Arabidopsis thaliana: one gene and its partner. The protein of the gene in region 1 interacts with the protein of each later gene in a biochemical or structural test. Each region holds a gene or a part of one and is shown on either strand. Other genes may lie near its edges.

What was found.
Region 2: the proteins of ACBP2 (region 1) and EBP form a complex in vitro, tested with the Arabidopsis thaliana proteins (one study listed by BioGRID).

Annotation. Positions count from the first base shown.
Region 1 is NC_003075.7:13,843,842-13,859,866, reverse strand, and holds ACBP2 (acyl-CoA binding protein 2), read right to left. Parts: upstream 12,319-16,025; 5' UTR 12,094-12,318; coding exon 11,606-12,093; intron 11,330-11,605; coding exon 11,227-11,329; intron 11,147-11,226; coding exon 11,043-11,146; intron 10,780-11,042; coding exon 10,688-10,779; coding exon of another isoform or gene 10,683-10,687; exon of another isoform or gene 10,603-10,682; coding exon 10,505-10,602; intron 10,418-10,504; coding exon 10,238-10,417; 3' UTR 9,933-10,237; downstream 1-9,932. Other genes in the region: BGLU9 (beta glucosidase 9), read left to right, coding at 1-1, 86-157, 242-329, 422-677, 747-862, 936-1,165, 1,253-1,278, 1,358-1,445 and 2 more; AT4G27810 (uncharacterized protein), read left to right, coding at 4,196-4,699, 5,140-5,226; TAP38 (thylakoid-associated phosphatase 38), read left to right, coding at 5,776-6,089, 6,165-6,293, 6,382-6,487, 6,561-6,671, 6,783-6,862, 6,943-6,996, 7,090-7,206, 7,303-7,357 and 3 more; AT4G27790 (Calcium-binding EF hand family protein), read right to left, coding at 8,379-8,504, 8,634-8,889, 8,981-9,046, 9,127-9,229, 9,315-9,801; FEY (NAD(P)-binding Rossmann-fold superfamily protein), read right to left, coding at 13,304-13,639, 13,741-13,833, 13,955-14,056, 14,474-14,610, 14,904-15,021, 15,249-15,369, 15,493-15,716. UniProt on the Arabidopsis thaliana protein: Binds medium- and long-chain acyl-CoA esters with very high affinity. Can interact in vitro with palmitoyl-CoA, but not with oleoyl-CoA. Binds to lead ions (Pb). May function as an intracellular carrier of acyl-CoA esters.
Region 2 is NC_003074.8:5,696,616-5,712,112, forward strand, and holds EBP (ethylene-responsive element binding protein), read left to right. Parts: upstream 1-8,925; 5' UTR 8,926-9,168; coding exon 9,169-9,328; intron 9,329-9,566; coding exon 9,567-10,153; 3' UTR 10,154-10,469; downstream 10,470-15,497. Other genes in the region: HEB2 (condensin-2 complex subunit H2-like protein), read right to left, coding at 1-50, 128-301, 376-548, 648-1,077, 1,164-1,306, 1,392-1,498, 1,862-1,961, 2,062-2,248; AT3G16740 (F-box and associated interaction domains-containing protein), read left to right, coding at 2,861-4,036; AT3G16750 (uncharacterized protein), read right to left, coding at 4,530-4,770, 4,856-5,162, 5,362-5,398; AT3G16760 (Tetratricopeptide repeat (TPR)-like superfamily protein), read left to right, coding at 6,598-7,851, 8,292-8,465; AT3G16780 (Ribosomal protein L19e family protein), read left to right, coding at 12,367-12,478, 12,845-12,967, 13,063-13,376, 13,463-13,515, 13,607-13,634; PLDP1 (phospholipase D P1), read left to right, coding at 14,714-14,953, 15,271-15,372.

The DNA of each region.
Region 1 (16,025 bases):
AGTTACGCCTCTTCCTTGTTTCTTTATTTGCAAGTAACGATGTTATTGTTTCTGACCTCTTAAACTCTTGTTGTCTTTGTGACAGATGGAAGAGGACTCATTAATCCAAAAGGACTATTGTTTTACAACAATCTCATCAAAGACCTAAAAAGCCATGGTGAGGTTTTGGTCTTTATATATAATCGCAACTATAGCCAATTCATAACTTCTAAATATAATTTTTTGGCAAAACTATTAACAGGAATCGAACCACATGTTACACTTTACCACTATGATCTTCCTCAGTCTCTTGAAGATGAGTACGGCGGATGGATCAACCGCAAAATCATGTAAAGGATACAAAAGATTCTGCTCTAACAATGTCATTTTTTAATTATATGAATTGTAAGTAAAAAAATGTTGTTTGTTTTTTATATTGCAGAGAAGACTTCACTGCTTATGCAGATGTATGCTTCAGAGAGTTTGGGGAGGATGTGAAGTTATGGACTACAATAAACGAAGCTACAATTTTCGCCATTGGTTCTTATGACCAAGGAACCGCGCCGCCTGGACATTGTTCTCCTAATAAATTCGTCAATTGTTCTACTGGAAATTCTTCTACAGAACCATATATTGCAGGCCATAACATATTGCTAGCTCATGCCTCTGCTTCAAAGTTGTATAAACTAAAGTACAAGGTATATACACACATTTTTTGCTCTTAAAACCTGAACCTCGTATGATCGTAGTTCATTATGATGGTGCAGAGTAAGCAGAAAGGATCCATAGGGCTTAGTATATTTGCATTCGGGTTATCTCCATATACAAACTCCAAGGATGATGAAATCGCAACTCAAAGAGCTAAAACTTTCTTATATGGCTGGTGAGAAAAAAAACTTTCTTTCTATGTTTCAATAACTTGAGGAAAAAATCTGAAGATCACTATGAAAATTCAGGATGTTGAAGCCTTTGGTATTTGGAGACTATCCGGATGAAATGAAGAAAACTGTGGGATCGAGATTACCAGTTTTCTCAGAGGAAGAGTCAGAGCAAGTTAAAGGATCATCTGACTTTATAGGAATTATTCATTACACAACATTCTATGTCACAAACCACCAACCTTCAGCTTCTCTCTTTCCCAGCATGGGTGAAGGCTTCTTTAAAGACATGGGAGTATATATAATTCGTAAGATTAGTGTTTTTTTCATCATTAACCAGTATAAAAATGCTTCTGATGAACTCTTTTAACTAAGAATTCTTCTTCTTTGGATAGCCACTGGGAATTCTTCATTTCTTGTGGTAAGGTCATGCAAATCTGCATAGCACATTTATATTCTTGAATCTCGTGATTTTCCTAACTCAGTTGCTTTTTTTGAAGTGGGAGGCTACTCCATGGGGTCTTGAAGGTATTCTTGAGTATATAAAGCAGAGCTATAACAATCCTCCAGTCTATATTCTTGAAAATGGTACAACACTTCATTCTTTTTTGTTTTCTTACTCTGCTTTGTCTGCTTGAAAGCACACTTTCTTGTTCTTTAAGATTCTTCAACTTGCAATTATAATAAAATAAAATACAGGTATGCCGATGGTACGCGATTCGACACTACAAGACACACAAAGAATTGAATACATTCAAGCTTACATTGACGCTGTACTCAACGCAATGAAGTATGATTCTCCTTCTGCATCTTTTAGTCCCCATATTACTACTATATAAGGATTGATTGGTATAATTCCAGTATTACTTAACTCTCTCTCTCTGTTTGTGACTAATCAGGAATGGATCGGACACGAGAGGTTACTTTGTATGGTCGATGGTTGATGTGTATGAGATATTGAGTGGATATACGACCAGCTTCGGAATGTACCATGTGAATTTCAGCGATCCTGGTCGCAAGAGGACTCCAAAGCTCTCTGCTTCTTGGTACACTGGTTTCCTTAATGGTACAATTGATGTTGCTTCTCAAGATACTATTCAGTTGTGGAGCAACTTCTCTGTCTCTTCTTCATTGTAATGTATGTTTTAGCCAAAGGATCCTTGTTTGGTTGAGTTCATTTATACTGTGAAACATCTCGGTAACTTGGCAAATGGTTTGATAAGATTTGCATATAAAAATGATGTTACTTTTGAGACCAATAGTGTTCCATTGATTCTTGAAGATAGTAAAATAGATAATGACACTCGAACACAACCATAAAAGTCACAAAGACATTAACAACTTAAATTTCTAGTACATATATAAGAGTTACATTTGGAAATGTATATGTCAGTTGCATCACAAGGATTACACTTCGCCGAAAAATAAAAGAAGATATTTCGATAGTCTTCTTCACATGCATATTTGTCTCGTTTCGCGAGTGGAAGAAGAAGGATTATGTAAGAAAACGCCAACTTTGGAATACAATAATATTATTGTAAGAAAACGCCGTATGAATCCGAAACCTATAAACATCATAATTTGCCTAGAAATTTGTAACTTTTATCGTTGTTAGGTCAAACGTATAAAATGAGAATGATCATCCCATGCTTGAGTGGCGTGTTCAACTAGACCAAATTTTTTGTTAGAGCGGTGGAAACGCCTTTGTTTTTTAAAAAAAATTGGCTTCCCTATAAGCAACAGTACTGTATATTAGAGCTTCACTAGTGCAATATCTTTGTATATTCTTCGATGATCAGTGAACATACTACCAACGTCACGACCTTTTAAAACTTAATTATCAATTTTGGTTCACAAATAACAAAATTCGACTCTTTTTGTTGTTGTTTTTGATAAAAAAAATTGCAGACACACCAACTCCTAAATAGATTAATACCGTGTCCAAGCTGAACAAGAAATCCAAAACTTGAAAAAACTTCACTACACACTAGTCCCGGTCAATTTCATTTACCAAAGCTCATACGTTCTAAAGAAGACTATGGGTCGTAGATCGTAATAGTTAGTTTGGTTTAATGGAAAAAAGTCAATTCTTTTACTTTATTAGAGGTTTGGTTGAAATTTGTAACTGATTATTCTTTCAGTTTCAATTGATTATCATATATTTTACAATTTTTATACTTGCACAAAAGAAATTAATCGAAGATTTTTTTAAAAAAAATGATATTTCTTGGTCTCTTCAAATAAAGCAAGCCCTTGATTACGGTCAAACGGAGCACGTTACACATCATCAAGTCAATAATCTAATCAAATACATATATTCAACTCACAGTCCTGCTAATTAGGCCATGCATGGACTATAGATACATTATCTTACCTTTATGTGCATCTCTTATCAGGCCATGCATGGACTATAGATGCATTGAAGTATCTAAACTTGAATGGGGGCTCACAAGGATAACATGATCAGCCTAATATCTTCTAAATCTGTTTAATTTTACCGTCCTTTTTTCCATGATTAAATCATTTCACTATTCTCATACATATCTCATGCAACGACAAGAGCAGCCTTTTGACCTTTATCGTAGCACATTCCTCACTTTCACCCATTTTTGTTTAATGTATATCCATCAAATACAGCCTTGATACTCTCTTTTTGTATGAAAGGCTATTTCGTTTTCGTTGTTTTGAGATAAAGATGGACAATTAATCAGATTTACAGATAGCAAATAATGTGGACTAAACTAGATGAAAAAACTACTATATTACATTTTTGTTTTCAGTTTATATACTACTGCATGTATTACATCTTTAGGCATAACTACGGTCCACAACACACAGATTCGAGGATAAACCTACAACGACCCACCTCTGTTTATTTTAAGATAATTTATTTTTGTCGACGAAGAAGACTTCTTCAGGATTTATATACATTATTTATTGTTACCACTATCGCAGCTCTGATTATCATTGTTTTTTTCTTTATATAATAATAACAATAAATAATGGTATTATTTATAGGCAATAAAGGCTCGACATGAAATTTGAAAGGACCCAACGTTAGGAAAATCGTAATGTAGGACCACCCACCCACTTTGTTTATATTTTCTTCTCTTCTTTGGGATCACTCTCGTGAATAAGAAGCGCCACAAGGAGCGTTTTGTTCATTTTTCTCTTTCAGCTTCATAAAATACTACACACTTCCTCACATTATTCATCCTCTCTTTTCCCTTTTCTTGTGTTCATATAACTCAAACCAAAATATACCGTCTCTATCTATCTAAATCCCAACCCATTTCATATAACGTCAAAGAAAGTTTCTTATTCAGAAAAACAAGGCGATGGATTTTGAATTTGATGATCAAGAACGGTTTTGTGCGACTCCTAAGCTTCCTTTGTTCTCGATTCCATTTAACAGAGCATGTGACACTCCAGGGCTAGCGACGCCGCCTGTGAACATCGCTGGATCAGTACCTTTTCTATGGGAGGAAGCTCCGGGAAAACCTCGCGTCTCTGATGAGAACAAACCGCTGGCTTCCAAGCAGAACGAAAGAGAAGGAGGAGGAGGAGGAGTCGTGCGGTGCCTTGAGCTTCCGCCGAGGCTATTTTTTCCAGCCGATGATGAGCCATCTCCGACCACAGTTCTTGATGGGCCTTACGATGTACCTCGCCGGTCTTTATCAGTGATAAGGAGAAGCGAAAGAGCCTCTGAGGGTAGATTCGAGTTTTCACGTTCCACCAATAGCCGCTGCTGCGACGGTGGCGGCGGTACAACGGTGAAGATTAGTAGAGTTAGAAGAAAAGGAAGCCTCTTGAATCTCTCTCATTCCAAATCGCAATTCTTGGTAAGTTTTGAACACTCATCACCTTTTCTAACATCTTATTTTTAGCTGTCTAATTACACACTCTTACCGGGTAGTTTACTAGTAACTAGCAAGTTAATCGTATTCTTTTGTAGTCAAAGGTAGTCGATGATTCAGAATTGCAAACACTATAATTTTCGTTATCAAAAAAAGGAAAATACATTATTACGTTGTTCAAAGTACCAACCGTTTTATCAAAAATTTCAAACTTTATTCAATGATTTCTAACTCAAAACAAAACTTCAACATTTTTGGGATTTGAATAAATGTCCCTTTTGATTAAAAAGTTTAGGTTTTCCCTTCAAAAGTCTTTGGTTACTCTATATAGTATGGAGTGTTTTTTCAATATGCTTTGTTTTTTTCGGCTTGTGCATATGAATTCATTTTTAGGCTCATTTTGATTACATAATAATAAAATGCAGGCAAGGGTTTACCAAGGATTTAAGCAAGTGATCCCATGGAGGCGGAGACAAGAGAATCTTCCACGGATGAGTTCTTCCAATATTTAAATCAAATCTCTTCGATTTCTTTTATAAATCATTAAATCTTTAGTTAATTTTATAGACTAATATTAATATCCATCTGTATACATATTACCACATAATTTACAGACATGAGGAAAAGTTTATTCTTAACTTTTTACCAAATTAAACCCTGAAACTACACTGTTCCTCTAGATAAATAGGATTATTGTAATTATACTTGAAAAAGGTAAAAGAATAGGGAACATCTTAATTCTTAAATGAAGGAGGACAAGAGCATTATGCAAAACCAAAAATTTATTATACAAAACATAACTACATGACCTTTCTATTTGCAGTTGCTAGCGACAGCAATAATACTTTCCTGAAAAGGAAAGCTATAAAAGTTGATTGATCACGATTTGGGCCTAAGCCCAAAACTTATAAAGTGGACCGTTAAGTTAGTTAAGAAGCCCGCGTTGATTTCTCTTATCCTCAGATATTTTTTTACGAAAATCCACGGCCACTAACCGTAAAGGACACTCTTTTGATTTTTCTCTTCTTCTACTTAACTCGCTTTGCCTGACTCACTGAGTCATGGCGCTTCTGAGGCCGCATCTTCATCGCTTTCACTCCAACACTCTCCGCCACTCAGCCTATCCTTCCGCCGACGCTGGCGGTGGCCTTGTCGTCTATCCCACGTATGGTCGTCACCGTTGCTCCGCGATTGCGATCGACGCTCCGTCGTCTCTGACTGGCGTGACGCCGATTCGTTGGGGTTACACGAGTGTTCAAGGATTCCGAGATGAGATGGAAGACGACATCGTAATCCGTTCTGATGCTGTCGATAGCTTCTCCTACGCAGCGGTCTTCGACGGCCACGCTGGGTCGTCCTCTGTCAAATTCCTCAGGTAACTTGTGTTGCTTCTCATGCAAGCTCTGTCTTCTAGGGTTTAAGTGTTGACGATGGTGATGATGATTGATAGGGAAGAGCTGTATAAAGAGTGTGTTGGTGCATTGCAAGCTGGATCGTTGTTGAATGGAGGCGATTTCGCAGCAATCAAGGAAGCTTTGATTAAGGCCTTTGAAAGCGTTGACCGCAATTTGCTCAAATGGTGAAAATGAGCTTAAATTTCTCAGAGCTTGAATGAATTTTGATGATTTTGAGTGAAATGAAGTGATTCATCATGCGTTTGGATCCAGGCTAGAAGCTAACGGTGACGAAGAAGATGAATCAGGTTCAACAGCCACTGTAATGATCATCAGAAATGATGTTTCCTTCATTGCTCATATTGGTGATTCGTGTGCAGTAAGTCTTCTTATTTATAAATGGATCATTGTAACTTGGTCATGTCTAAAGTCTTGTTAATGCATTGAAATAGGTCTTATCTCGATCTGGGCAAATCGAGGAATTGACTGATTATCACCGTCCATATGGAAGCAGTAGAGCAGCTATTCAGGAAGTGAAAAGGGTCAAAGAAGCAGGTGGATGGGTGTGTCTTCTTATTTTCCATGTTTCAAATTCCTCAAGTATCATTGGATTTGCTTATCTATCTCTCCGAGAATTTGGCTTAAAACCGATTCATTGCTTTTTGTATAATCAGATTGTCAATGGAAGGATTTGTGGAGACATAGCTGTATCTCGTGCTTTTGGTGACATCCGGTTTAAGACAAAGAAGAATGAGTTGGGTTCTTTCTCTTCTCACAACGGCTCTTCTATTTTTATAATTGTTATCTCATTGCTCATAAGGGTTTCATACACAGTATGTTAAAGAAGGGTGTTGATGAAGGAAGATGGTCCGAGAAGTTTGTTTCCAGGTAACGAACTACTTGGAAGCTGTTTCTACTTTTGCTCGTCTCTCCTGTTATTCCATTTCAAGGATATCTGTTTCTCATGAGATAAATTCTCAGAATCGAGTTTAAAGGGGACATGGTTGTGGCGACTCCAGATATCTTCCAAGTACCTCTGACATCTGATGTGGAATTCATTATTTTAGCTTCTGATGGATTATGGGACTACATGAAGAGGTTTCCTTTTCTTTTTCCTCTTTCCCCCATTCAGTCATATGCTTTTTAATTGGGAAAAGTATAGAGCTTACAGTGATCAATGTTTTGCCAATACAGCTCAGATGTGGTTAGTTATGTTAGGGATCAGCTCCGGAAACATGGGAATGTGCAGGCAAGTTTTTATTTCATCTTCTTATCAAATTAGTTTCAATAATCATGTATGACTTTAAGGCTTAACTAGTTTCCTAACTGTCCATATGTAACAGCTTGCTTGTGAATCTCTTGCGCAAGTAGCTTTGGTAAAATAGCTAATACCCTCCTCAGCCTTTCTTTTGATTAGGAATCAAAACTTTCAAATGTACGATTTTGTTCCAACGTTACAGGACCGGCGATCTCAGGACAACATTAGCATCATTATTGCTGATCTAGGGTAGGGGTTCATCTAAACAAAAGTTCCACTGCTATATGAAACCTCTGTATACATTATCTATTAGCTATTCAATCTATATACTCTTAACGTGTTTTGGTTTCGATTTTTGCATAAACAGAAGAACAGAGTGGAAGAATCTCCCCGCGCAGCGACAAAACGTAGTGGTTGAACTGGTTCAGGCTGCAACGACTATCGGTTTAGTTACTGTTGGCATATGGATGTCTTCACATCTATCTTAAGTGAATTGAACATTCTATCTCTTTCGTTAGTGTATATAAAACCTGTAACTATGTCTAACACTCTAGTCTTCCCATAGAAATGGAGATATGAAGATACCTCACAAACAGAACCAGCTTTATATTATTATATATCCCACTTTCACAAGCGTTGAAACTACATTTACAAATAAATGCATCTTCCAACGACTAAGAGAAATTTTTTGAAAAGAAACGCATGGCTCATGCCACAGTTGGTGGTTCCAATTTTTAGCTACTTGATATTTTCTTTAGGCATCTATAATTCTTTTTGTTTTGTGACATTCTCTGGTTTATCATATCACAAAAAAAAAAAAAAAATCTTGACATTGTATTATATACATTGTGGACTCTTCAAAAGCCAACTATCAACGCAACCACGGTGGAATTTGTGCATGTAATCTCGTTGCCTAACAATCTAACATACCCATTCTAGACGAGATGAATTAAGAAGTCAATTGAACAAAAAAAAATTATGATTAAAATTTGAAGGAAAACAAATTCAAAAGTTAGAGTTCATCATGATCAAAATAGTCTTCGTCGTCCAAGTCTTCGTGATGAACTGCCTTGTAAAAGACATCTTCGTGGTGCAACATCTCTTCAAGAGATAGTTTACCATCTTTATCCTCATCCGCCTAACAAAATAATTAAAATTTATTGGACGTTGAAAGTCTAAGCATTATACATATACATCCACTATTAATGAGTTTCAAAGTTGTGAGAAAGAAAACTTAAGATTAAGATTTAGGTTGGGAGAGACTAACCTCGTGGCAAAGGAAAGTAGAATAGAATTTGGCATAACTCATCTCACCAGGTTGAAGATATTGCAAAATGGGTCGAAGCTCATCGGCCACGAGGAATCTGTCTTTGTCTCTGTCCATCTCTGCGAACAGAAGCTGAGGTGTTGGCACATTCTCATCCTCCTCTTTCTCGAACTTTGCGAATTCTTTATACATTTCATATGCATTTTTTACAAACTCTTTGTACTCTAGCTTCCCATCACCGTTCGTGTCCATGCCCCTATATATTATATATATCAAACAACATGTTGTTTCCTAGTTAAGCTTCATTTATGATCATATCGAAACACGATATATCACGAAATGCTTACGTCATTCGCTCCTTTAGAACCCATCTTTGTGTATCTCCGTTTCTGCTGTCTTCAGGGTGCAAGAAACTGCAAATCCCATATTTTCATTCATTTTTTATTTTCGGAAATTTTAAAAGTGATGAGATTTTTCAAGGCATATTAATTACTTGTTGAACTCCTCAATGTCGAGAGAGCCATTATGATCAAAATCAGAATTCTTGAATTGCTCCATCCACCAACCGGCTTCACCGTGACCCTTCTCGTTTTTCTCTGTTTCCATATTATCATTGTTTTTTCTTATTTGCATAATGAAGAAGAAAAATCTCGAAGGATCAAAGACAAGTTAATATATTACCAATGTCTTGTTTAGAGAATTGAGGCAAGTACTCTTCGAAAGTTATGACACCGTCCTTGTCCTTATCTTGTAGCTCAAGCTCTTTGGCGGTTCTGTAAACCATGTTGTCTTCTGTCTGTTGCATCATCCATGTCTGAAGCTCTTTCAAGCTCACAAAGCCATCTCTTGGAGACGCGTCAAGCAGAGGAAACAAGAACTTGATCCTCATTGTCGTGTTAAGCCTTCTCTCTTGTGCAAAATACTCCTCAAACATATCATCTTTCTCCTCTTTCGCAGCCTCCACGGTCTTCGTACCAGCTTCTTTCTCATGAGACAACCTCTCAATCCGGGTCACCAAAGGGTCAAACACCGGCATTTCAAGCCTCCGTCCGATGCGGCGGGTTATGAGACCCTCAATGGATTGAGTCTGGTTTTGTTTCTTATGAGCGAGGAGGATGAGGAAGATGATGGTGGCGGTTAGTATCGTGTAAACCACCACCTTGGCCATTTTCCGGTAGTCCAAGGTGGGGTAGGGAGAGAAGACGAAAGGGCCACGAAGATTGCTAATTCTGTTTTTGTATTTGCTTTATTGGGGGCTTTCCTTAAATCATTAAATTATGTTCTATCAACCGTTTTTGCCGCCAAAGTCGGTTATTTATTCGTTGAGGATCCAATGACTCTTCCTCTGTCTATATGTGTGTATTTATAGCAAACCAACAAAACCGGTTACGACATATCATAAAGCCTAAAGGAACAAAAGATTGTTAAAATGTAAGAAGAAAGAAATCAAAGAACAAGACTTGGTAACATCCAAGTGATATAGTGTTGGAACATCCCAGTGATGTGGTAGGGATGGAAAGAAAGTTTAAAGTAAAGAAAAGCTTCTTACTAAGTCATTTGATCATATACATTGCGGATTTAGAGAAGACGTGGTTAGTATTTGTTTAGTCTGCCTGCTTTGCAGAATCTCGGATCCAGGGCCAGTCTGATTCACAGAGATCAAGGGGAGAGTTTCCATCCTCATCTTTAGCGGCTGTGTTTGCGTTCTGTTTAACCAGAAACTCGGCGATAGCTTCTCTGTCGCATACAACAGCATAATGCAAAGGGGTTTGGCCTTCGTTGTCCTGTTCAACACAAGAACCAAAAACACATAAATAAAGAAGTTGCTAACTTTGCAGATAATGACTGGGTAGGAATTTCTCTTTCGTCACCTTAGCATTCACATCGGCGTTCTTATCGACCAGAACTTTGGCGATGTTGAGGTGGCCACGGTCTATAGCCCAGTGCAATGGTGTGCGACCTTCACTGTCTGCAGTTTATGGGAAAATTAGAATGCAGATCCAACATCACGAGAATGAACTTCCAAGAAACGGAATATACAAGCAGAGACTAACCCCTTGCATTTACAGGAATGCCGCTTTCAATGCTTTTCAGTAAATTCTCGACTTCTCCTTCTCTAGCAAATCCGTGTATGGCATCAATCTTCCTGAGAGATAAAACAAAAGTTCAATGAGCAGAGGATTAGTGTTTCATTCAGATAGACAGGAAGAAACGAACAGCTCAAAGTTCCATGAGACAATTGTAGCCATTTCACCATCAAAATTTGCTACAGCTAGAACGAGACAGTAATGTTACATATTCACCGAGTTTATGAGCCTCTTTCACAAATCAGGATACTTATATCTAATCTAGACATGAACGCAAGGATCAGGATATAAAACACATGAGAATACAAGAAGAGAACCTTACAACTCATTTTCGGACTCCTCATCATAAACCAAAGAGCTAAAAACTGGTCCCATGGTTCCTCTTGAGTTGGAGGCTGCATCATCCCCACCCCGACTTCCGGCTTTCTGTTAGTGAAGCTCACATGAACAGGCCAGAGGAAGAAACCGAAGCAATCAAACAAAGAAAAGGGGAAAAAGCTTTATACCACGCCACCGTCTAACCAAGTTGGGTAAAGCTGAGTGACAATCTCAATATACTTCTCCATCGCCTCTTCAGGTGGCATAGCTCCCAGTTTCTGCCATGCTTGCCTGAGATAGAACAAGATCATGGCACATCCCAATCAATGAAATTGCAATCTTACAACAAACCACAATTCCATATACAATCAACTGTTACAACAGTAAAAACCACATCATCGTCCAGCAGTTGCATAAGCTAAGAAGCAAACTAGGTGATTGTCTATGAAGAACCTAAAACCTCAAAAATTTCCACCTCAAATCAAATCTCAAACAGTTGAACAAAAACACCAGAAAATGATACATAGAAGTTAATGGCACAGCAGATTCAACGAAAGAGAGAGATACCACTTGGCACGAGCAGTCATTTTGAGAGCTGATGGCTGAGGAGCAGTACACGGCCCTTCCGTAGCAATCTTATACAATCCGTAAAGCTGCTGCTGCACATCACTCGGTACCTTCTGCGAAAGCCGATCTGCGGCGGCGGTAGTCACAAAAAGAGTGGCGGCGCTAAAAGCCTCATCGAGTTCCGTGCTCTCGACGCCTTCCCAATCATCATCTTCCTCACTGTCGTCACCGGCAACGCTATCACTTCGGGAGCTACCCTGCTCCGCCACAAGCGAATCCGCCTCACCACCGAAACCACCGCAAGAGGAATCGAGACGTCGCGAGTCAACTCCTTCCGGTTTAATTTCCAATTGAGACTCCTCTGGGTGACGAGTAAGAGAGAGATTGTCTTCTTTAAACGTGACGACGATCGAGATCAGCTTAGCGAGAAGGTAAGAGAAAATCAAACCTAGGATCACAGACTGAGCAAGTTGAGCCCAATCACCCATTATTTCTAAAAACGAAATCAAATTCTCAAAAACGAAAAACCAACGCCGATAATTAAAACCCTAGAGAAATTTCAACACAGAGTCTCACGAGGAGGATGAAGAAGAAGAAGGAAGCCAAGGGATCTGGAGAGACAAAAAGGAACAAACTTGTGTTGTTTTCCACCGATTCAGTCACCAAACAAAAAGAGAAGTTCCTTTTCGTTGTGGGCGTTAAGACTTTTTAATGAATTGGATCAAAGTTTAAAAGACGACACATAAAAAAACTTGGCGACGAGTGACGACAGATCACATATGGGTCTAATTGGGGAAGAAGTCGACGTGTTGTACCCTAATCTTTTTTGCTCCTTTTACCAACAAAATTAAATAAATATTTCACAATAACACGTAAAAAAGTTAATGAATTCAATAACAATGTCAAATTTTGTGGTGGAATCGTGGTCGAAAACAAATCTAGAAGACGTGCATGGTGTTGGGATGATTAAAGGCTTGACTCATACGACACGTAAATTGACATGTATCCATAAGAGAAAATAAGGTAGACCACAAACTTGAAGGCATTAGATTCACGTGAAGTGGGCACGAAAATGAAATCCCAACTTTTTTTCTTATAACAAAAGATAAAACTCATACATGATATTAAATAGTCCCACTTCCAAACATTGCTTGCTCAAATGAGCATCTCATGAAGAGAAAACCCAACCCACCCATACGAGTGAGTGAATCATTTTTACATGGAATACTCATTTAAGCAAGAAACATTAGAAAGTGGAAAGGAGAGTTTATCACTTTTGTGACTTTGTCACCATGAGAGTAAGAGAGATGATGACTCTAATTGATATATATCCCTATAACTATATATGAGCAACGTGACTCCACAAACAATAAAGAAAATTACGAAAATACCCTAAACTCAAACAAGAAACTACCCACCAACCCAGGCTACCATACTCTACTACTGAACATCTTAATAACTCCAAGACACACTAACCAAATACTTGAACAAGACTTGTAAGTAAAAGCAATGGAATGGTAGCTAAAGCTTGACTTTTATCCAACAATCAAACATTCTCAAGCAAACTACATGCCTGGGGGATTCATTCCCCACTGTATCGTGTAGATTAATACAAGGAAACAAAAAAAAAAGATATTTTCTCAATTACCTACCCTTTGATCTGTAATGGGTCACTTAACCTGTGGTAATTTTGAAAGACTATTCGTGTTGTGCTCCATACCGGCATTGGATATTTTCCCCTTCTATGAGCTTCTCAACTGCATCGAGAGGAAGACCCACCAGCTCTAACGTCTTTTTCCACACTCTCTGTGCAGTTTCTGTGTTGTGTGCTTCTTCGGAAGGATTTGCAGGGCGGCAATCTTGAGAGATGAATGGGCAAACAGGCCAATCATCGTTTTTTAGTGTTTCCCAGTACTCTGGAATCTGAGGATCTGTGGCCGAGAATAGAGAACTTCTACAACCTTCTTGGGGTGAAAATATGAAATAAGGTATCACTGCGTAAAGAGCTTGAAGAATCCTGGATAGATCCCTGGCCTGTAAATTTCGGAAAGAAATAGGCAGTTCAACGCAATGAATTTCTGAGAAAACAGAGGAATCCTGCACTTGTAACGAAATGAAGTGAAGCTAATACTCACAACATTTGTTAGGACAACACCAGGGGATAGACATACGACGCTGACTCCTGTTTCCAGAGGAAGCTTTTTGAAAAGAATGCTACTAAACATAATCTGGAAGATGGAAGATCAGAGAGCGAGACTTAACTCACCAGTTTCTGAAAATAAGCCTCTTTCAGAAAATGGAAACTACGGCAGATGAAAACTACGGCAGATGTCATTACTGTAAGCTCACCTGGGCAAGCTTGCTGCTTGAGTATCCTATAAGGCTTGAGTACTTACGTCTACCAGAAACAACATTCATGTCATCCGGGTCAACAAAACCGACACTATGCATCTACAAAAGTGAATCCCACAACCCATTATCTTGCATGAAAAAGTAATAATCAAAGACAATAAATATAAACTGTTTCAGTTTTCATAAACAGCCAGGCACAGAATTCTTCTGAAATGAGTAATGACATAGTGCAGTCATGGAAGCGTATTTGGGGTTGAAACTTTCAACAAGCTATGGTTGTATCGTTTCTCTATACCAAGACTGTGTTAATACAATATGCATATGTAGTTCAGTGATTTAGAGAGATCTATATCAGTTATCTACATATTCTGCAACCAATTGACAAGACCAGAGGTTTTCAAGTTACAGAATACACAAACAAATCAACCTGTCAACATGATTACTCATACCAAAGAGAATATAAACTAGAGAATACAGACTTGGAGCCTGCAGTATCAGTGATCATAGAGAACTTACAACGGAATTCACATTAATGATTCGGCTAGGAGAGCCTCGGATCAGAGACGGCAAAAGAAGTACTGAAAGCAGCGCTGGAGCTAAATGATTCACTTGCATGTGCTGCTCATATCCTTCCTCTGAGAATTTTTGCGCCTCTGCACAAATCAGAGAACAGAGCATTTTAAGGTTACTTTTCCTCAACACATACTGCAGAAAATGTAGCATCTGACAACCAATCATTTAAAAAGGAGACCCATTGGACAGAGTTGCTATGAAAGAACATGCCAGTTCTCACCAATTGGGTCCATCAAGTTGGAATGTTGATGATGATGATGATTGGTTCACAAGTATGACTTTGAGATCATAACAAAGAGATGATGAAAATAGATACAGGAAACAACAGAAGGGGAAACTCAATGCTTATAGCTAAAACGGCAATAAAACCAACCTCCCATAGCAAACATCCCAGCATTGTTAATCAGAACATGCAAAGGTCCTAACCGAGCGTTGAAAGCCTCAGCAAATCTCGCGACAGAATCCAGTGAGAGTAGATCAATCTCCATTGCCTTTACAAAATAAAACAGAGTATTATTATCAACTATCTAGACGTTACAAGCCAATAGTCTAACTCTCTAACTAATATACAAGAAATTGGCTTAGCCACAGTCTAGATAGTTCACATATTATTTGAAATTTCTATTGTACAAAACGCTTTATCTCATTCTTGGCTAATTTCAGTCCCAGTAATACACATTACTGAATTGTAATAAGTACATCACCATTATAAGGTTACCTCAATATTGAGTGGGAGACCTTTACCAGACCATTCGTTCTGCCATTGCAGTATCAGCTCCTGAGCCGCCTTTGTGTTCCTTACGGCCATCACAACATGAGCACCAGCTTCTGCAAGCTGCCTGCGACCGAAGAAGCAAAAGAGCTAAAAAGCTTAGGGAAGTTTTCAGTAATTCGAGTCCCAATCTAGACGAAATCAAACTCAATTTGGTTGTAAATCGGAAGAAACGGGGAAGAGAACAAACCTCGCGGTTTCACGGCCAATGCCGCTGGTGGAGCCAGTGACAACGCAAGTGAGGTCGTTGACGGAAGGAAGAGGAAGAGGATTCTCCAAATGAGAAGCTGTGATCCTCTGGAAGAGAATCTCCCCGAAAACACTGCTCCATCCCCTCATCCACTCCATCCATCCCAGATTCTGCTTCTTCTTCGCCGGAGCTGGGGACGGAGATGACGTCGTTTCGTCACTCATCTTCTTCTTCTTCCGGAGTTAGATCTATGACGTTGCACAGCAACAAAAAGACAAAAAGTGTATTTCGTCAATATCTATGGCTTCACAACCTCAACTCCTGGAAGCTCCGGATAATATATATAATGGGCCGGCGAGATTTTTGTGACCCACAAGTAGAAGATAAACAATTTCAATTGACCGGTCATGGACTCATGGGTCAACGATTACACATTGTTAATGTGTTTCATAAATATGTTTACAATGATTTCTATTTTGTAATTGTGAATGTCCTGACTAGTAGTGACTATGCAACCGGTCATAGCATTACTG
Region 2 (15,497 bases), on another chromosome or scaffold:
CCGTTTTCAAATCCATCGTAGTTGTGAAACTCGGCAGCTCCACCATCATTCTGCATTCAAATTCAAATGAGCGGATAAGGGTTTCACATATTTCGACCAAAATAGATCAATTAGTGAAACTACTCACCATATTGAGAACATCTTCATCCATGAACGGATGTTCTGCATCATCACCATCATGCTCCCCAAAATCATGGAAGTCGCCATTATTGGCTTCATCATGGTTATCCTTGTCATTGTCATTGTAATTGCCGTTAGCACCACAAGGTTGGTTTCCTCCATTCACAAGCATCTCTCGAAGCTGACATCCAAACTATCAGTTTTTTTGGTTTGTTGCATTTCAATATTCTATAAAAGGTATAGAGAAACACAGACCTTCTCGTAATAAGGGATGTCTTGTGATGCTTGCTCGTCTTTACTAGCACAACCGTGCATTTTCCAAATTTCAATAAGCTCTGAACTGATGGGACCGTTTGGTCTAGCGAGAGGGAACATGGAAGTCATATGGTCCTTGGTAATGCTCCATCCAATCTTTTTTAAAATTTTTACTGCTCATGGAATAAAGTAGAACATGAACTAGAAGTAAGATGCAAATCGAAAGATATAGCTTCAGATATTAATCAAGAAAACAATAGCCATTTCCCAACCTTTTTTGAAAGGCTTCACTTTCAACTTCCCTGGTTCATAGGGATTCAATGGCTTCCACGGATCATCTTCGTCAGCATCTGTATCACTAAAATCCATGGCTCCTCCATATTCATTATCCATGTCAAAACCATGATCATTGTCTTCAAAAACAGGAGGCTGAGACCCTTGGTCACAATTTTGATCATTGGGACCATTCCCACATATTGGGGACAAGTGGACATTGGTGCCCTGATTCTTTCCCACAGATGACTTACGAGCACTTCCTCCAGAACGTCCAACAGATGAGTGAAAGCTTTTACGAACTGAGCTGCCTCTGTGGGCACTGTTCCTTCCTTTACCACCATAGTTATCACCTAAAAATTCATTCACCGCTACAGCATCACATGGGTCTAATAGTATAAAATCCCGGTAGAGATGTGTAGTTGCCAACTGCAAGAGATGAAAGTTAAAACGGAGTTCAAGCCCCAAGCTCTTTCTGTTTTTCATACTCTAAGAAGTGGAAAAACATGCTATACCAGATAGGATTCCAATTCTCCTCCGTCACCACTAGTATCCAAACAGTCACCTTCAAGAACAACTAGATTCGCTGGAGGCTTGACAAATTGACTTGGACAAGTATCTCCGCCAACCGAACTGTCCAATCTATTCTTTGTGTCCACTATATTATCAACAATAGCTGGATTAGAAATCTGCTCTCTAGAGTGGCACAAAGATAAAATGTCAAATTTCAGAAATTTCTCTACCTGGGATGTCATCTACATTCCAGAAGAGATCATTTTCTTCTTCATCAACCTGACGTGAGGAGCTTGCCTCATTCTCATTTGATGTACCTTTAGACTGTTCCTGGTCTCTGTTAGCAAGAACAATTGACTAATCAGAGAACCTTTCTCCAAGAATTGCTTAAGGAAAAGGAAGCAAATTTCCAAGTGAGTAACAACTAGCAAGGTGACCAAAACTAAAATTTATATGAAATCAGAAAGTGACAGCTTTAAACACAGCACCAAAATAGGAAAAAGATACGTTTTTTAGATTCAACCATGGTATAAATTTTCTTCATTTGTGAACACAAAACAAAACCCATCCACATAGAAATAGATGGAATCAAAGTTAGCCCCTAAACCCTGAGATGCTTGGAGTATCTAACACAAGTACTAATGTTATTATTCTTGTTCAATTTCACTAAGGAAAAAACAGGGAATCTAAAAGGACAAACCTTTGCTTCGATAGAAACTCCAACGTACGTAGAACTAAATTATACAAGTACTCAACTTTCTTGCTGTAAACCTGAACCGAACCCTGAAGCAGCAAAGCAGCTACAACAAAAATCGAAACCCAATTCTTAATTACCCAAAAAATGAAATAGCTTGACATCAAACGAGAAAGTTCTGAAATTGAAGCAAAACCCACACAGACCTTCAGCGAAATTCACAGGAATTTGCCCATCTTCTTCATTTCCAGTGATTTCTCCGGAACAAATTTTGAGGAGGTACTCTTCTAGCTTCTCCGACAAATCAACTTCCCAATTAGCCACCAAATCCCTCTCCGGCTGTACTGTATGAATCCTCTCGCCGCGGACTTCCCCGCCACCGTGACTGGTCATTCTCGGTGAAGACTCACGGAATTTAAGCTTCTATATGGAGAGATTGGATAATTCATATCCCTAATCCCAAACCCCCAAAAAGAAAAAGCTGAAACCCTAAAAACTCTGAATTGGGATTCCAACTATAAAGAGAAATTTCAATAGAAATATCTGATTTTGTGGTGAAATTTGAGAAATTTTTCTGGGAGACGAAGGGATTGTGCGATGTAACACGAAGATTTCAAGTGATTAGTGAAGATAGAAAGGAACTGTGAGAGAGAGAGAGAGATTGAGAGTTTTGGGAAAGAGAGATACGAATTATTTTGACTTCTCTAGATTTTCCCGCTTCTCATCAAATGCAAATAGTGTTACTATTGGGCCTAATTAATTTGGGCTGTATTGAGACTTTAACAGGCCTTGGACCCATTACTAATAAGTCAAAAACTTATTACCAATCAAACCCCACTTATGTGGGTACTTTTGGTCGGATGCGGAAGTATCCGTCCTGATGATGATGAAGCCAGATAGATTTTTTCTTTTTCAGATGGAGTAAATTAACACAGTCGGGAAGCAATCGGTGGAAAAGGAAACAGCTTTGGAAGGTTGATTCCATTACAGATTCGATTCGAAACTATGGTTCAGATTTCCGATCTTCCACGGGATTTGACAGAGGAGGTGCTCTCTAGGATTCCGGTGACATCTATGAGAGCAGTGAGATTTACTTGCAAAAAGTGGAACACCTTATCGAAAGATCGGAGCTTTACAAAGAAGCACCTGCGTGGAGCAAGAGCAGCAGCAAAGAAGAAGCAGACGAAGGAGTTTCAGGTGATCATGATGATTCAATTTAGGGTTTATTTATACAGCGTCAACCTCCTTAATCCATCAATAGAGCGTATAGGTAAACTTATTAGCCTAGACGTTGAAGATCATGTCGACATATCTAAAATCTTTCACTGCGGCGGTTTATTGTTATGTATCACCAAAGACATATCTAGGCTTGTGGTTTGGAACCCTTATTCTGGGCAAACAAGGTGGATCAAACCTAGAAATTCTTACCACAGATTGGACAGGTACGCTTTAGGATACGAAGAGAAGAACAAGTCGTGTCGTTGCTACAAAATCTTGAGATTTATGGATGATTACGAGGATGACAGGGCACTGCGCCTAATTCGTGAGTTTGAAATCTACGACTTAAACTCTGATTCATGGAAGGTTGTTAATGTCACTCCCGACTGGGATGTAGAGTTTTATCACCGTGGCCTGTCTCTCAAGGGGAATACTTACTGGTTTGCTCAAGAGAAGCTTCCACCATTACCACGCGGAAGAGTGATAACAATATCAGATATGGCTGATTTCTTACTCTGTTTTGATTTTACAAGGGAGAGATTTGGACCGCGCCTGCCTCTGCCTTTCCACTCTTTTGTTGAAGATACTGTGACTCTATCCAGTGTTAGAGATAAGAAACTTGCAGTGTTATTTCAGCCATGTAGTGCATCTACCGTGAAGATATGGATTAGTCGCAAGATTGAGCCCAATGCAGTGTCGTGGAGGAAGGTTTTCTTAGCGGTTGATATGAAATCACTCACTGGTTTTCAGTTTGACATTAACGCTGCAAGTTTCTTTGTTGACGAGAAGAAAAAGGTCGCCATGGTTCTGGATAAAGACAGGTTCAGTTATAAATTTACTCGCAACATAGCTTACATCATTGGGAAGAAGGGGTACTTCGAAAAAGTGGATCTTGGAGAATCTACAGTTTCAAGTTGTGCCTCACTTGTGTGCTCTTACGTTCCAAGCTCAGTGCAAATCTAGCAAGCTTCACCACGAGGCAACCAATCGATTCAATTGTTTTCTTTTCTTATGTATCTGATTTGTCTTGGAGATTTTTTATCTTTGTCTAGTTGTTGTGCCCAGAACTCTAAGTTCCGCCACATAGTTTTTCCAGACTAATAACTTGTTAGAGGACAGAGCTAAGCATACCTGACCTGAACACAAAATTATAGGGGAATGAAATTGGTTTCTACCTCTGCATGTCTCACCATGAAAAGCTCATCATCGTAGATCATCAGGTCTGCTTTAGCTGAGGGATGGACTTGTGTTTTGCTGGTATGACATGTTTGAACATTAATTTGGAGATAACCCTTGTGTGACATGGCCTGGAAAGGGTTATTATTAAAAAGCCAACTTGGTAAAAATGAAAAGAGTTTTTACATCTCCAAATTCAACTCTTTACTTGCAAGAAAAAAATCTGTTGGTCAAGATGGAATCTTTCCCTTCACTTTTGGAATACCGGATGCACAAAAAGTCAAAAACCATTAGCATGAGCTTCTATATTATCATCTCCGGCAGATTCATCATCACTACTGTGACTCTCATCATCACTACTGCCGTCATCATCATTACTACTGCCGTCATCATCACTAGAGTCATTATCACTGTTGCCAAGATTTTGCGAGTCTTCAGTGTCCTCACCACTGTTGTGACCGTAATCATTGTCGTCACTCATATGATAGCGTCTGTAGTGTACCACCCGGTACGTCCCATAGCTACATTAACACAAGTAAGTCAACAAACGTTCACTAAAACAATTTAATGAAACAAAAAAGAAAAGAAAGAAAAGATATTACTTACAGTTGTTCACATTTGTAGACTCGTCTTTCATAGGTGCTGCTGACTCCCTCGTTAATGGGAACTAAAAAGCACTGGTCAACTCTATACCGTATGTCGAAGTCTCCATGCATTTTGTTAAAATTGGTTAAGTCCCAGACTGTAGTATCTAGCACATCTTGCTCATCAACATCAAAAAGAAATAACCCTTCTTCAGGGAATGGGACGGGTACAGTAGAGGTAAGTAAATCTTCACGTTTGCCGAGTATGTTCCTTAAATCCTCATGGTCCAACCACTCTGTTCTGGAGCGTATCAAGACATCCTCAAGATCTGAAGAAATTGGCGAGAAAAGAGAGATAGTAAGGCTATTCAGATATTTACATTCGCAGACCTCAAGCTTAATGATCTCACATTAAACAATCAGCTAATTACAGAGATGTAAAACAAATCAAATTACGGGAAAAAGAACAGATCCAGCATAATTTCCACACAACTTGTCAAACAATGAAAGAAGAAAAGGAAGAAGAACCTGGATCATCTATCACGTCCTGAAGATTATTAGCCATGATTCCGACGTAGCACGAAACCTGATTATATACGAGCCCTGAACCCGCCAAACTCTGCACAAGCCCGAAGAAAACAGCGTTAATGATCGTAGAAATTGATTCACCCGAAACTTGAGGATATCTACACACAGCATAGCAAATACACAAGTTACCTTGAAGCAAACACGAGGGACTTAATCGCTGAACCCCATGGATCTGTAACTTCTGCAATTCCGTCGCCGATTTTAGATTCTAACCGATTAGAACCTCGATTCAATGAATGAAATCGTCAATTGAATACTCTCTCCTCTCTCAATCTCTCTGTGAATCGATATGAGAAAAGAAGAAACGGAAAAGAAACTAAATTCCTCTCTACTGTATCTGTAACCCAAGAATACCAAAGGAAATAGTTAACTCTTAATCCCATTTCTCACACAGGCGCTTTATATATAGAGGTTTAACACTCGACGACTCTAAATTGATTTCAGTTACAAACGGTTGGAATAACTAACTAACTCTCGGATAAGATTTCTTCTCTTCTCTGAACCCAGCTGCTTCAGCTTCAACTAAACATCTCGATAACTTGATATTGAAGAAGAAGAAGACATAAACGACGCCGTCGCCCTTGTGTTTTGGTTTTCTCCAATTAACCCTTAACCAGCTCAATTTCCGGTTTACTCATTAAATTCAAACCGAGTCTAATTAAACCCTGTTTCACATCAGCTTCATATATTATATTTTACCCATATTTTAAACTACTTTATCTTTTTATATACAAATCAATGAAATTTTTTTATTCGTACTTTCTCTTTTGTATATACAAACAAAAGCTTTAAAAAAAAAAATACCAATTAAAATTTTACTACAATAACTTTCTTTTTGCAAAACAATTCACTAAATGCGCACAAAAAAAAATGTAATGGTAAAATTTGGGGATGAATTGAATGAAAACTTAAAAAAGAGGGGCATTTTTGTGAAGTTCCATTTTGTTTTCTCCCCTTCGTTGGCTCTGGAGTCTGGACAACAACGCTAAAGGAGAAATCTCTAGATCGCTTGTGGATTCGAAGAATCTCTCACGGTCGGTTCTTGACGACGGATCAAGCTCTATTCCTCTAGTATCATCTAATCCATCGAGCAATTCTCATTTTGATCTTCCGTTTTCATCATCTTCTGGAATCAATTTTGCTCTTGTTAAATCTGAAAGTTCTGAGGATAAAATCATGAATTCCAACTTCGGGAAGAGATCATCCGGATCGACCAATAGCTTTGATTTCGATCTGGGGCTTGGATCGAGCCAAGGTAGACCTCTGAATGGTCAGAAGAGCCAAACATCTTCTTATTCGAGCTCGAATTCGCAGCCGAGACCTGCGTGGCAGCCTGGTAAGCCGTCGTGGACGCATCAACCTGCACCGAAGCAGAGTACGATCCGATCTGAGATCGGAAGTGGACCGACTTCAATGGTGGGTGATATTCATGGTAAGACGTGGGGGTCAGCTTCGGGATCGGGTTCGGGTATTGGGATTGTGAATAAGGATCCTAGTTTGTTTGGAGATTTGGTTGGTTCTGCGATAGGTCAAGGTAAATCTAGTAGAAACGTGCCGTTGAAGAATGCACCGCCTGTTTCGGCTTCAGGTTCGAGTAAGAGTCCTTATTCTATGGGGAATTTGGGTGATTCGTTGCCTAAATCTGGTAATTCGATGAAAACTGGTGGTGGTATGGGTTATAGCAGTAATCCGAGTGGTTTTTCTGGTGGTTACACGAGCTCCGGTGGTTTTAATGCTAATCTTGGAGGTCCTTCAATGAAAAATATGGCTGGGGGCAATCTAAATGGGTCTGGTCTTCCTTCGAATAGTGATCCATTTGGTTCTTTGGTTGGTTTCGGATCAAAATCATCAGGAAGCAAACCAGGAAAGGTTAACAACAATGCACAGAATGATACTTTTGGGAATTTTCAAGGAGTGTCGAACCTTAACAGTGGCGGTTCTACGGGAACAACTACTCAAATCAACGACTTTGGGGGTTTCCAGGCTTCGAAATCAAACACATTCTCATCAGGAGGTAGCTTCAATGCTTCAAACGTTGATTTTGGTGTGCAACCAAGTGGTCCACAATCTTCGAGTGCAAACGATGATCCATTAGGAATGTTCTCTAATTCCAAACCCTCAGCTGCACCACCTACGCCACAGACCGAAGATTGGGGATTTGAAAGTTTTGACGGTGGGGCTGGTTCCACCACCGAGCTTGATGGTTTGCCACCGCCTCCACCGGGTGTATCAGCTACATCAGCTAAGAACAAGGGCATTGATAACCAGAGACAAGGTCAGTATGCTGATGCCATAAAGTGGCTCTCTTGGGCTGTGATTCTTATGGATAGAGCTGGTGATGAAGCTGGATCAGCCGAGGTTCTTTCAACAAGGGCTTCGTGTTACAAAGAAGTTGGAGAGTATAAGAAAGCTGTAGCCGACTGCACAAAGGTATGTTAAGAAAGGCACATTTTTCTTTGGATGCATCATGGACCATGGTTCATATCATTCTCATCTCAGATCCTTAGTTTACGAAGTCTCTAGTTGTATTGGAATCAGTTTAAGGACTCTTGATGAAATTGATACTGATAAGAGTTTTCAGGTATATGAAACTTGACAATATGAGATTTAGGTTCTTATGGAATCTTAAGATAGATTACGAGTTAGAAATACTGTGCACGTATAGAAAGTTTTAGTGTCTTGCTTTGTAGGAAAATATACCACAACTAAACAGTTCTTGGGATCGCGTCATCGTAGCTAGTTGATTGGTTGTTATGCTCCATAGATGGTTTCTTGTAGACTCAGAACAAAACCAACATCTTCGAAACTTGTTCTGATTGTCAGTTATGCTTCACAGATGTTTTTTGTTCACTTTGAAAACGTGATTGCAGGTACTTGATCACGACAAGAAGAATGTGACCATTCTGGTTCAACGAGCACTGTTATACGAGAGCATGGAGAAATACAAACTCGGAGCTGAAGACCTAAGGATGGTTCTAAAGATTGATCCCGGGAATAGAATCGCTAGAAGTACTGTTCACCGCCTAACCAAAATGGCTGGTTGATCCTTCATATATACGGATACTACTCAAAGAAAAAAAACAAAAAACCCTCAAATATCTATAATCCTTCACATTGCTTTGCTCAATACCGTTTCCTCTCTCATCCATGGACCATGCGTGTGTGTATTTTTTTTCTGAGATTTATTGGTTCGTCTATAATGCGGCAGCTTCTTGTAGTAAGTGGGTCATGAGTGTATTTTTTTGGATGGTGCATTTATATGTTGTTGATTTTCTTACACACTAATTTTTTTTGAGTTTATCATGAAATGTTTGATCATCGATGTCATATGAAATGCCAAAGATGACCGTAAATTTCGCATCGTAACTCGCAAAGATGAACCTTACTTTGAGACGCTGCCTGCGTGATGGACGTGAGACGCATAACGCATACTATTAAATTACCAGACGCTCGTGGACACAACACTTCAATACCGAAAACTAAACTAATCACATTGTGATACGTTTTGTATTCAGAGAGCCAAAAAAAGGCTTACAATTTTGTCGTTATGTGGATTAGCCTTCAATTTGTTGTAACCGTCATGTATCAAGGAACATAAAACTATTAGAATTATTATTCTAATATAAAGTAATTCATTTCACTCACACTTTATTACCATAAAACATTTATTTTGCGCCTATAAAGGCATTTCAGCTCCACCGTAGGAAACTTTCTCTTGAAAGAAACCCACAGCAACAAACAGAGAAAATGTGTGGCGGTGCTATTATTTCCGATTATGCCCCTCTCGTCACCAAGGCCAAGGGCCGTAAACTCACGGCTGAGGAACTCTGGTCAGAGCTCGATGCTTCCGCCGCCGACGACTTCTGGGGTTTCTATTCCACCTCCAAACTCCATCCCACCAACCAAGGTATGTACTCTCCTATTAATCATAAACAAAAATACAAAATCATTCAAAAACACAAACATATAGTTTTTTCTAACCTTTTTAGCAAAAAGGTAAAATAATATTTCTGGAACTTACGGAAGATGATAAAAAAAAAATATTTGTGGTTTTGGTAATGTAATTTATCAGGATTATTTAATTATCTGTGTGGGGTTAAAATTGTAAATTTTGAACTTTGGGGAATCCGGTGAAAATTTTGAAGTTAACGTGAAAGAGGAGGCAGTGAAGAAGGAGCAGGCAACAGAGCCGGGGAAACGGAGGAAGAGGAAGAATGTTTATAGAGGGATACGTAAGCGTCCATGGGGAAAATGGGCGGCTGAGATTCGAGATCCACGAAAAGGTGTTAGAGTTTGGCTTGGTACGTTCAACACGGCGGAGGAAGCTGCCATGGCTTATGATGTTGCGGCCAAGCAGATCCGTGGTGATAAAGCCAAGCTCAACTTCCCAGATCTGCACCATCCTCCTCCTCCTAATTATACTCCTCCGCCGTCATCGCCACGATCAACCGATCAGCCTCCGGCGAAGAAGGTCTGCGTTGTCTCTCAGAGTGAGAGCGAGTTAAGTCAGCCGAGTTTCCCGGTGGAGTGTATAGGATTTGGAAATGGGGACGAGTTTCAGAACCTGAGTTACGGATTTGAGCCGGATTATGATCTGAAACAGCAGATATCGAGCTTGGAATCGTTCCTTGAGCTGGACGGTAACACGGCGGAGCAACCGAGTCAGCTTGATGAGTCCGTTTCCGAGGTGGATATGTGGATGCTTGATGATGTCATTGCGTCGTATGAGTAAAAGAAAAAAAATAAGTTTAAAAAAAGTTAAATAAAGTCTGTAATATATATGTAACCGCCGTTACTTTTAAAAGGTTTTTACCGTCGCATTGGACTGCTGATGATGTCTGTTGTGTAATGTGTAGAATGTGACCAAATGGACGTTATATTACGGTTTGTGGTATTATTAGTTTCTTAGATGGAAAAACTTACATGTGTAAATAAGATTTGTAATGTAAGACGAAGTACTTATAACTTCTTAACTGTTTTGTGGTAGTCCTGATTCCTGAAACTAATGGGAATTAGTTTGTATATCAAACAGGGGTTCCTAACTTGTTATTATTAGGTTAGGTGGAATAATTCTAGGGTTTTTATTGACAAAAATTAACAAATAGTGGTTTTTATGGAAAAAGGTGATGGTACCAGTATAGTGGGAATACACAGAAGAATTTGCAGCCTTTCTCAATTCTTATACGTATAATTCTCGTATGTCTATGAAAAGGGTTATACGTATGATGATTTATGAGTAGTGAGTACATACATCTTTTTCACTACTTTACATGTAATATTTATGGAAAAGGTCTGATCCGTTTGCTCTATCGAGAATTGGAATTGTGAGATATCTTGATTTTAACAGTTTCAAGATTAATGAAGAACAAAAACAATGGCAACAACTTACAAATTAACATTCGGAAGAAAGAAAAAAACTTACAAGTGAGATCAAATTTGGATTTAGTATTTTAGATGTAAGTTACAAATATTTCATAAACTAATAATCTATTAAAAAAAAATTATTCATTGTATTTTACTTTATACCGTAACCTAAACAATAAAATACAAATTTATAATTGAAGGATTTTAATTGTTTAAATTACTCTTTCTACCATATTTGTTTTTATTTCTTTAAACTTACTCTTTCTACCATGCCATTTAATTATTTTTGATTGCAAATATTGTACGTACCTTTCAACTGTGAACTAGTATTATCCTTATCCCTATCGTTTCCCAAATTTCGTCTTACGTATAGTATTAATACATGCATGTGATTAAATAGAAGATAAGAAGATGTTGATGTGTTGAGACTTAAGACTTTGATGCATGAACCTCTAAAGCCTAGTTGGTAACTTGGTATAATAAGATTTGAAGTGGGTCCATAAAATGTTTTGAAGATTGACAGAATCTATTTGTTTCGCGATATTGTCTATTTCTTTGACGTTTTAGAGAATCATTAGTAATTTAATTAGTAATAAACTAATAACTAAGCGGCATCTTTTCGATGTGATAACCAAAATCATATAATGATGCGTGTCTTAGACTCTTCGATACATATGTAGATAAGATAGCCTAATAAATCTCGATTGGTTTCTAAAATTTGTGTTTACTTCATGTTATAAATAGTAAACACAATACTAATCGAATCATGATATTCACGGTTACGACAATGAGTTGACAATCAGATATACTTCAAAAGAATTGTGGTTAATACTAACTAATATAACTTGTTCGCTCAATCTATATATATAAATATATAATCAACCTTCAATATTATGAAACCAGATGCTTATATATATCTACTTCGTAACATTTAATCATTTATCATGCATTCAGGCTGATCGTTTACGGTTTACCCAAATTCAATATATGGAAAAGGTGATGGCATAGTGACGTTATTCAAATAGAGTAAGTGAACTTAAGTTAGTTCTCTTGCATAGAAATTCGAGCATGACATTATGTTTGAATTTTAATTAAAACAAACTCTTATGCAAGAAATTCGTTGTGTTATGTTATGTCGTCAAGAAATCGTAGCCGACAGTATACCATCTCTGTGTGGTTACTTTTCTCAAGCATCCCCAAACTTTATTCTTTTCGATCCCCCACTTGGAATTATCCAAAATGATTCGCATTTATTTGACTTGCAATCAAATAATGTAATCCGTGTGCGTATTGTATATATATTTTTTCATTGTCAATGCAAACGTTATTGTTATTCATCAGTTTTCATAAATGAAACAATAATGGGCCAAAGTAGGCCCATTTATAAAGCGAACGGGTCGAATTATCAAAACATTTCTGTGTAAGTGGGTCTTAACGAAATTGGAGTGGAACTGAAATTAGACCCAAAAACCCTAAAGAATTGATATGTCTTCGATTTATAAGTAGGTCATTTTTTTTTGCCTTAACAAAAAAGCCCTAAACGGAGAGAGGCGGAGAGGAGAAGGAAGACGGCGTGAAGCAATGGTGTCGCTGAAGATCCAGAAGCGGCTCGCCGCATCCGTAATGAAATGCGGGAAAGGAAAAGTTTGGCTCGACCCCAATGAATCGGGCGATATCTCTATGGCCAATTCCAGTAAGCTTTCAATTTTTAATCTCCCACCAATCACTTTATCTCTATTTGTTTTATAGATTGTGTTTTACAGAAACTCTGTTTTAGGGAGTGATTAGAAACGTATAGATCATTTTCTGAACTAGGTTAAGTACTGAGTCATATGTATGAATGCATTTCTAAGTGTTGAGGCCTTATGTAGTAGTAAGATTATTCCTTAAGCTTCGTAGAAACTGTATGGGAATGGATTTTGTAATTTCTCTATAAGAAATTAAGTTTTCAGATGGTGTCTATCTGTTTACAAGCATAGAGTAGCCATCTAGATTCATGCATTTGTCTAACAGTGGTGTTGATATTATTCTTAATACATTATTGGATTATGTGAAACAGGGCAGAACATTAGGAAGCTTGTGAAGGATGGTTTCATTATCAGGAAGCCTACTAAGATCCACTCACGTTCTCGGGCTAGGGCTTTGAACGAGGCCAAGCGAAAGGGTCGTCACTCTGGATACGGTAAAAGGCCAAATGAGCTTTTCCTGCTTGAAATTCCTTTTGATTATTGCTGGTTTAGTGAACATTGTCTTTTGTATCACTTCAATGTTTTTTAGGTAAGAGAAAGGGTACAAGAGAGGCAAGGCTACCAACCAAGATTCTTTGGATGAGGAGAATGAGGGTGTTGAGGCGTTTCTTGAGCAAGTACCGTGAGTCAAAGAAGATTGATAGGCACATGTACCATGACATGTACATGAAAGTGAAGGGTAATGTTTTCAAGAACAAGCGTGTGCTTATGGAGAGCATCCACAAGATGAAGGCTGAGAAGGCTAGAGAGAAGACTCTCGCTGACCAGTTTGAGGCCAAGCGTATTAAGAACAAGGCTAGCAGGGAGAGAAAGTTTGCCAGAAGAGAGGAGAGATTAGCTCAGGTGAGAAGAAATTTACAGGCCATTTATGGCTCTCTGTCATTTTAGTTTTGGCGTTCCCTCATTAATAATACTGTTGGCAATTTTAGGGACCTGGAGGTGGAGAGACAACGACTCCTGCTGGCGCACCTCAACAACCAGAGTAAGAAACTTTGTTCTTTGTCTCTTTCCTTTGTCCGGTTTTGGGGATTGAAGTTTCTTAGATTTATGTTGGGATTTTGTTGTGTTTTCAGGGTAACCAAGAAGAAGTCGAAGAAGTGATTTGGTGTTGAACTTTTTTGCAATTGAATCTTTGAGTTTACCTGTAGAAGAAGCGTCTTTTTTTTATCTTTTATATGATTTTGTCGGAGATTCTTTTCTTCAAAAATATTTCTTATGTTATGGATCTCATTGCTTATTATGAATTTCTCAGTTTTGTTTCTCTTTACCTTTTCTCTTTCAATAGTTTCTGATTCCATTGTCTTAAAACATCAAAGAAGTTGAGTAGTATCACACTTCCCAATTTTGGAGTTACTTGTTCAACCATGTATTTAACAAATATGTAAATCCCAATTTGATTAACTTGAGAGTTTAGTATTGGTTTTGACAACAACAAAAATGATTTCTAATGAACTGTCTACATGTAATTCAAAACAAGGTGTAGAATGTATTAAATTCAAAAGATTTTTATTGAATAAAGGTGGGGTAAGCTTTTTGTTTTCCCCCAATAATTAATCTTGTATAGCTTTGATTCTATGAATACGTGGGGTAAGATTGGTGGCCAAAAAAATAAACACAGTAGCTAACCATTGATTTGAGATTTGATTCATAAATATCTATATCAAAATTTCTTAATAAAATTTTAGATGATCTCAAACAAAGCTATATAATAAGATAATTTGATTATGTTTTCTACATAGTATAAGATCACTGATTTGATTAATAAATGTTAAGAAAATAATATATAGCCGGATCCGGTATCGGAGTAAACCGGGAGAGAGAGGTCAAAGTCGACGTAGACGTAGACATAGTTCATGTTGTTCACTTTGCTTTCTTCGTGCACCTGTATATCAAAAACCAACACCGTGTGTATTCCTCTCTCTCTCTCTCTCTCCCCGACTTTTGAATTTTCCCTCAGATTTGTCTTCCTTTGTAATCCATTTTCGCTCTGGATCGATCTTCCTACGATTTGGTCTTCAGATTGATCGGTTTCTCATCGGAATTCCCGGGGGGGAGTATAAGCATAACGAAAAGGATCAAACTCAGGATCAACGCGACGGGAGAATTGGAGATTTTTTGTTTGCTAGATCTTGAATTGAGCGATCGAATTGGGTAATTGGAGGTTTGAAGAGATCAGAGAAATGGCATCTGAGCAGTTGATGTCTCCCGCCAGTGGTGGTGGACGCTACTTTCAGATGCAGCCTGAGCAATTTCCTTCGATGGTCTCTTCGCTCTTCTCTTTCGCGCCGGCTCCTACGCAGGAGACTAATCGTATTTTTGAAGAATTACCAAAAGCAGTGATCGTCTCTGTCTCTCGCCCTGATGCCGGCGATATTAGCCCTGTACTCTTGTCTTACACCATTGAGTGCCAATACAAGCAGGCGAGTCCATCTCTTCTCTTTAGTAGGTCTTACTAATATCGTCGCATAATAGATGCTTGGATCAGAATCACTTAAGAGGAGATGGGTATCAACTGTAAATTGTCATGTCTGACTATTGATCGAAGTAGTTCTTTTGGATACCTAGCTTGAATCTGATACCACTGATCGATGTTATATGTCCTTTGGAAGCCCGGAACAGAGACATATTTATCAATATTTATATGTTTCACCTTAGTTTAGTGGAAAGGCTGCTTATTATAGTGGAGCTTTCGACTTTTGAATACTTGAGTCCTAACTTTAGCGCTTTTATGTAACAGTTCAAGTGGCAGCTTGTGAAGAAAGCATCTCAAGTCTTTTATTTGCATTTTGCATTGAAGAAACGTGCTTTTATTGAAGAAATTCACGAGAAGCAGGAACAGGTTTGTGGTGACTTGATATATCAAGGAATTTTCTTCTACTAGTTTGTGATTCCCTTTGAGTGAATATTTTAAAGGTTTTTCCTTGGTCTGTTGAATTGAGTTTGATGTGGTTTTCTTTCGAATAT